Linked DNA regions of Anolis sagrei. The protein of the gene in region 2 binds, or shares a complex with, the protein of the main gene of each other region. Links are inferred from orthologs where the notes say so. Each region holds a gene or a part of one and is shown on either strand. Other genes may lie near its edges. The genes, in order: FAM98B and ZBTB8OS.

The links.
Region 1: ZBTB8OS (region 2) and FAM98B share a complex: the UniProt entries of both Homo sapiens proteins name them as parts of the tRNA-splicing ligase complex. The link is inferred for Anolis sagrei from reciprocal best matches to the Homo sapiens genes ZBTB8OS and FAM98B.

What each region holds. Positions count from the first base shown.
Region 1 is NC_090021.1:292,584,599-292,588,522, forward strand, and holds the start of FAM98B (protein FAM98B), read right to left. Parts: upstream 3,034-3,924; 5' UTR 2,962-3,033; coding exon 2,924-2,961; intron 1-2,923. UniProt on the Homo sapiens protein: Positively stimulates PRMT1-induced protein arginine dimethylated arginine methylation.
Region 2 is NC_090034.1:83,665,183-83,669,106, forward strand, and holds the start of ZBTB8OS (protein archease), read right to left. Parts: upstream 2,402-3,924; 5' UTR 2,270-2,401; coding exon 2,161-2,269; intron 1-2,160. UniProt on the Homo sapiens protein: Component of the tRNA-splicing ligase complex required to facilitate the enzymatic turnover of catalytic subunit RTCB. Together with DDX1, acts by facilitating the guanylylation of RTCB, a key intermediate step in tRNA ligation.

The DNA.
Region 1 (3,924 bases), on a different chromosome or scaffold from region 2:
GGCAGCAAGCACTTGGTCAGTCAAATTCTGTGGGATAGCTAGTATCTGATTAGCCAAAACCAGTCACTATTTGATCAGGCAAATTTGTTCAAAGATGTTGAGTACTCACAGTTAATGCTCAGTGAGAAAATCTGGCACACGGCTGTATAAATGAGTCCAGAATGAAAGTAGACTATATGGTCAGTATAGATATATAATGTATTTTAACTGACTATACACTGACCATATAATGCAGTTTCTAGGTCAGTGCTTCTCAACCTGTGTTTTGGCCTACTACTCCCAGAAATCCCAGCCAGTTTACCAGCTGTTAGGATTTCTGGGAGTTGAAGGCCAAAACATCTAGGGACACACAGGTTGAGAACCACTGTTCTAGATAATCACATGGCTCTCCAGAAATTGATAGGCTGCACTCCTCCTCATTGGCTATTGTGGCTGATAGGAGTTGCAGTTCAAGAAACATGTGGAGGAGTACATTATTCCCACACGAAAGATACAATTGGGAAGTCAATTGGGAAGTCAAGTATTTATTTGATTTATTTAAGAAATTTATACCCTGCCTTTCCCCACTTAAGGGCCCAAGGTGGTTTAATGTGGTTAAAAACATGCATAATAAAGGTTAAAACATTTAAAACCAAATATTAGTAGTTGCTGTCACACGTCCTAAAACTGGCTGTTAGGAATTGTGGGAGTTGAAGTCCAAAACACCTGGAGGGCCTAAGTTTGCCCCTGACTGGTGTACATACACTTTACTTATGAGGGCCTGACCTCTTAGTATTCCTATCACATTACATCAAAAGTCCCCAACCTTTGGTGCTCCAGTTATTTGGACTTCAACTCCCAGAAATCCCAGCCAGCTTACCAGCTGTTAGGAATTGTGGGAGCTGAAATTTATTTACAACATTTGTATCCCGCCCATATCAGCGCAAAGGCGACTCAGGGCGGTGTAGAAGTTGGCAGCAATTAGATGCCCTGTATAAAAATACATCAATAAAAAGCAAAAACATCACAATACATTTAAAAACAATTAAAAGCAGTGAAGAATAAAAATTATAAAAACGATGTCTTCTGGTTCAAATCTTCAACCGTTCCATCGTCTTAGACCAGAGGTCCTCAAACTTTTTAAACAGAGGGCCAGGTCACAGTCCCTCAAACTGTTGGAGGGCCGGATTATAATTTGAAAAAATATATGAATGAATTCCTATGCACACTGCACATATCTTATTTGTAGTGCAAAAGACACTTAAAACAATACAATAATTAAAATGAAGAACAATTTTAACAAATGTGAGTTTATTAGTATTTCAATGGGAAGTGTAGGCCTACTTTTGGCTGATGAGATAGGATTGTTGTTGTTGTTGTTGTTGTTGTTGTTGTGTGTTTTCAAGTCATTTCAGACTTAGGTTGACCCTGAGCGAGGGCCGGGTAAATGACCTTGGAGGGCTGTATCCAGCCCCCGGGCCTTAGTTTGAGGACCCCTGTCTTAGACATTCTAGTTCATTTTCCGATTTGAGTTTGTCTGGTCATGCTGTGGTTCCAAACGCTTGCTCAAAGAGTAAAGTTTTCACTCTTTTTCAAAAGGTCAGAAGGGAGGGGGCTGATCTAATATCCCTAGGCAGGGAGTTTCACAGCCGAGGGGCCACCACAGAGAAGGCCCTGTCTCTCGTTCCCGGCAAACGTGCTTGTGAATCAGGCGGGATTGAGAGCAGGGCCTCCTCAGACGATTTCAAGTTCCTGGAGGGTTCATAGGGAGAGATGCATTCTTCATCTGGAGAGGCCCTGCTCGTGATCCCACCTGCTTCGCAAGCGCGTTTGGTGGGGACACGAGACAGGGCCTTTTCTGTGGTGGTCCCCCGACTCTGGAACGCCCTCCCCAAAGTTCTTAGACAGGCCCCTACATTGGCAGTCTTTAGAAAGAACTTGAAGATCTGGCTGTTCCGATGTGCCTTTCCAGAATAGGAATCTCCAACAACAAGTCCCAGAAGCACTTTACTAGAATTGAGACTACCGCACACTGCACTTACCCTATAATCCTTACATACCACCTGTCACATCAGCACTTTTAACCTTGTACACATTACTCTGGCCTGGCCCAGTTTTATAGTGTTTTTGTTGTATTGTTTATTGCTTGTTGTTTAATATGCTTTAACTGTTTTTAATTTGCTTTAGGTGTTGTATTGTTATGTTGTGTTTTGAGGCCTTGGCCTTTGTAAGCCGCATCGAGTCCTTCGGGAGATGCTAGCGGGGTACAAATAAAGTTAATAATAGTAATAATAATAATAATAATAATAATAGATAAGTTGGGCCGGCACTGTTTAGGGTTTTATAGGTTAAAACAAGCACTTTGAATTATGCCTGGTAGAAAATTGGCAGCCAGTAGAGCTGACGCAACAGCGGAGTTGTATGCTCCCTGAACACTGCTCCTGTTAGTAATCTGGCTGCTGCACTCCAGCCCATTTGAAGCTTCCGAGCAGTCTTCAAGGGCAACCCCATGTAGAGTGCGTTGCAGTAATCTATACGGGATGTAACCAGAGCTTCCCAAGGTACGGGCGCAGTTGGCGCACAAGCTTTAACTGTGCAAATGCTCCCCTGATCACTGCCAAAACCTGGGCTTCCAGGCTCAGTGATGAGTCCAGGATCACTCCCAAAACACCTGGAGGACCAAAGGTTGGGAACCACTGGATTAAATGAATTATTGTTATTTCCGACCTGCTTCTCTGCATGGCGGGGGGACAGCAACGTACTGTAACACATTAATCAGTTTAAAGGACTATATAAGGCCAAAGCATATTAAAACCATCAGTATAGAATTTAAAACGAGCCTTTGAAAACTCAAGCAACGTGTGAGCCAGGGAAGAGTTCTTCCTGATCGAGGAGGAAAACTGAAGAGGGATATTCATAGGACATATAGTAAGGCAAGTCTCACCCCAGAGCCTCCAGCGCGTCCAGCACATCACACTCCATTTTCAGATCCTGCGCCAAGTGCTTCAACTGGCCGGTCCCACCGCGATCTCCGTCCCCCGGCCCTCGCGCAGGCGGATGGGTGTCACACTCAAGCTACGCCGACCGCGCGCCGCTCCCCGGCCTTTGGGTTCCGGCTTTTGGAAAACAAAGCAGCCTATGCGCACCATTTCCAGGCATGGGCAAACTTCGGCCCTCCAGGTGTTTTGGACTTCAACTCCGGTAGGCTGTTAGGAATTGTGGGAGTTGAAGTCCAAAACACCTGGAGAGCCGAAGTTTGCCCAAGCTTGGTGTAGCTGCATTCACTCTAAACATATATTTTTACATATTTTTCTCTAAATCTGTTTTTTTTAAAGTTTTAATCCTATTCATTTGAGCATCGCAATTAAAGGGAGATGGAATGTGTCAAGAGAAGGTCGACTTAAATGATCCAGGGTCTGGAGAACATGCCCCATGAGGAGAGGCTTAAAGAGCTGCGCATGTTTAGCCTGAAGAAGAGAAGGCTGAGAGGAGACATGATAGCCATGTATAAATACGTGAGAGGAAGTCATAAGGAGGAGGGAGCAGGCTTGTTTTCTGCTGCCCTGGAGATTAGGACGCAGAACAATGGCTTCAGACTACAGGAAAGGAGATTCCACCTGAACCTGAACTTCTTGACTGTGAGAGCTGGTGTTCAGCAGTGGAACTCTCTGCTCCGGAGTGTGGTGGAGGCTTTTAAGCAGAGGCTGGATGGCCATCTGTCAGTGTGCTTTGAATGCAATTTTTCTGCTTCTTGAGAGGGGGTTGGACTGGACTTAAATGATCAAGGGTCTGGAGAGCATGCCCCATGAGGAGAGGCTTAAAGAGCTGGGCATGTTTAGCCTGAAGAAGAGAAGGCTGAGAGGAGACATGACAGCCATGTACAAATATGTGAAAGGAAGTCATAGGGAGGAGGGAGCAGGCTTGTTTTCTGTTGCCCTGGAGACT
Region 2 (3,924 bases):
TGCTTTGATTCTCCATACGGAGAGATAAAGAGGGAATACAAATAAATCAATAAATAAAATACAAATATTGCTAATAATAATAATAACAAGTATGGATCGTCAATGTTGCAATCCCAGGCAATAGCAGGATTGACGAGAAGCAACTGGAAAAGCTGACACGATATGAGGATTTAAAGACAGAACTGCAAAGACTCTGGCACAAGCAGTCAAAGTGGTCCCAATGGTGATCGGCACACTGGGTGCAGTGCCTAAAAACCTTGGCCTGCATTTAAAAACAATCAACACTGACAAAATTACCATCTGTCTGCTGCAAAAGGCCACCCTACTTGAATCTACACACATTATTCGGTGATACATCAGGGTCCTAGACACTTGGGTAGTGTCTGATGTGTGATCCAATACAACAGCCAGCACAGTGATCTTGTTTGCTGTGTACTAATCTTGTTATGTATCAAATAATAATAATAATAATAATAATAATAATAATAGCCTCTCACAAAACTATTTCCAACTTTCCTATTCTTTCCCTTGGAGTCAAGTTATGTCCATATTTAACAGGTTTTAAAGAAATGTATATAAATAAAAATGTAATGCTTGTTTGTGGGATTGACATAACTCAAAAACCACTGGATGTTTTGACACCAAATTTGGACACAATACACCTATAAAGACAACAAGTCACCATCACTCATAAAACACTGGCAAACACAGCAGAAGAGACTTAAAAGCAAAACAATAATACATTACAAAGCATGCACAAAACCACATATACACATACAAACACAGACACACATACACAAATATATAGACACACTAGCTGTACCCGCCACGCGTTGCTGTGGCCAACCTTCCCTCTCTCTTTCCCTCCTTCCTTCCCTCTTTCTTTCCTTCTTTCACTTTTTTATTTCCTTCTCTCCTTCCTTTTCTATCTTTCTTTCCTTCCTTCTCTCCTTCACTCCTTCTTTCCCTCTTTCCCTTCTTCCTTCCTTCCTTCCCACTTTCTGTGTGTATGTGTTTTGTGTGTGTATATATGCATATATGTGTATATATTTGTTTATATGTGTGTTTGCGCATGTGTTGTAATATATTTTTTTGCATCTATCATATACGTGTGTGTGTGTGTGTGTGTGAATGGCTGGATGGCCCTTTGTCAAGAAGGCTTTGATTATGTTTTCTTGCCCTGGTGAAGGGAGTTGGACTGTGTGGCAGCATTTCTCAACCTGGAAAGTCAAGACCCCAGGGAGGGGGGTTCACCAGGGGGGTGTCAGAATGGTCACCAAAGACCACCAGAAAACACAGAGTTTTCTGTTGGTCATGGGGTTCTGTGTGGGATGTTTAGCCGAATTCCATTATTGGTGGGGTTTGGAATGCTCTTTGATTGTAGGTGAACTATACATCCTAGTAACTACAACTCCCAAATGTCAAGGTCTATTCCCCCCAAACGCCATCTGTGTTCACATTTGGGCATATTGAGTATTCCTGTCAAGTTTGGTCCAGATCCATCATTGTTTGAGTCCTCAGTATTCTCTGGATGGAGGTGAACTACAATTCCAAAATCCAAGGTCAATGCCCACCACACCCTTTCAGTATTTTCTGTTAGTCGTGGGAGTCCTGTGTGCCAAGTTTGGTTCAATTCCATTGTTGGTGGAGTTCAGAATGCTCTTTGATTATAGGTGAACTATAAATCCCAGCAACTACAACTCCCAAATGACAAAATCATAATTTTTTATTTATGTTCACTCCTTGTGATGTGAAACATTTTGTTGCCAATTTTGGTGTAATTTCGTTCATTGGTTCTTTTGTTTTTAAGGTACTCATTATGCACAGAGCATTTATATATAGATAGATATATAGACACATATACACACACAAAACACTTATACACAGACTCTGTGTGTGGCAGGGGATGGCTAGTTGTTTTAATAATTTCACTGGCTTCAAATAAGTCCCATATTTAATTCCATTTTAGTGTTATGCTTTAGGTTTAAACATTGTGTGATTGTTTGTGTTTGGCTGCGTTGAGCCTCCTTTGAAAGAGAGAGAAAGCAAGAGAAATAGATAGATAGATTTGATTATAGATCAACCCCAGCCTGCATTTCTTGGCACCTTATTCATAAATCAGGAATGAAATCCTTTTCAAATAGATGGGAAAAGACTCACATTCGTACTTCTTCGAAATAGGCGCATATTTCGCTTTAATGAGCTTCTGGTCCTCGGTTAAATTGTAATCCCGGTAATTGTCCAGCTCCGTAGCTTCACTGAGAGCCATTCTAAGTTAAAATTAAGTCAAATCAATGGTTGTTTAGGGAGAAGGAATGGGAAGAGGTGGAGGGCACGGCCGGCAGCCTCTCTCTGCCTCCACTCTGCTCAGGTCCAGGCCAGGCGGCAAAGCAGGGCCTCTTCCTGGTTGCCTCTTAAAGAGACAGTAGCAGGTTTTGACGCAAGGGGGCACCTAGCAAGTTTGATTATTATTCAAACTTCCTAGGCTTTGTATTGTCGAAGGCTTTCATGGCTGGAATCACTAGGTTCTTGTGGGTTTTTTCGGGCTAAAGGGCCATGTTCTAGAGGCATTTCTCCTGACGTTTCGCCTGCATCTATGGCAAGCATCCTCAGAGGTAGTGAGGTCTGTTGGAATTAGGACAATGGGTTTATATATCTGTGGAATGACTGGGGTGGGGCAAAGAGCTCTTCTCTACTGGAGCTAGGTGTGAATGTTTCAGGTGACCACCTTCATTAGCATTTGAAGGCCTGGCTGAGCCTGGAGGAATCTTTTGTTGAGAGGTGTTAAGATGTGCCTGGTTGTTTCCTCTCTGCTCTTTTGCTGTTGTAATTTTAGAGTTTTTTAATACTGGTAGCCAGATTTTGTTCATTTTCATGGTCTCCTCCTTTCTGTTGAAATTGTCCACATGCTTGTGGATTTCAGTGGCTTCTCTGTGTAGTCTGACATGGTGGTTGTTGGTGTGATCCAACCAGGCCCGTAGCCAGGATTTTGTTTCGGGAGGGGGGGGGGGCTAAAAAAATTTCAGGGGGGGGTTCGGGGAGGGGGCTGAGTTTCGGGGGGGGGCTGAGTCTGAGTGAAAGAGGGTCTAGCCTAGCAAACCTTTTGTATCATTACCCCAATACCCCCATGCATATGGGATATATTGAGTATGGTGATCAGATCATGATATGAATAAACATAACAGTTTAAATAATGCACCAGTAAGGCCTTTTCACGAACCACCATGAGAATTTCGGGGGGGGGGGGGGCTGAAGCCCCTCAAGCCCCCCCCCCCCCCGGCTACATGCCTGGGTCCAGCATTTCTGTGTTCTCAAATAATATGCTGTGTCCAGGCTGGTTCATCAGGTGCTCTGCTATGGCTGACTTCTCTGGTTGAAGTAGTCTGCAGTGCCTTTCATGTTCCTTGATTCGTGTTTGGGCACTGCTACCAGTATTAAAAATTCTAAAATTACAACAGCAAAACAGCAGAGAGGAAACAACCAGGCACATTTTAGCACCTCTCAACAAAAGGTTTTCCCAGGCTCAGGCAGGCCTTCAAATGCTAATGAAGGTGATCAGCTGAAACATTCACACCTAACTGCAGCAGGAAAGAGCTCCTTGCCCCACCCCAGCCATTCCACAGATATATAAACCCATTGTCCTATTTCCAACAGACCTCACTACCTCTGAGGATGCTTGCCACAGATGCAGGCGAAACGTCAGGAGAAATGCCTCTAGAACATGTTCCTAGGCTTTCCCTCTAGGGACCCATAGGTCCTTCTTTGAGACTCTATGGATTTCAATATTCCCGGATTTGATTGAAAACAGTCTCTCTAGGAATGTCCAGGTCCTCCATTGGGACTCTGTGGATTTGAGGATTTCAGATTAAAAATCTTCTCTCTAGGAATCTTTTGGTCCTCCATTGTGACTCTATGAATGTGATT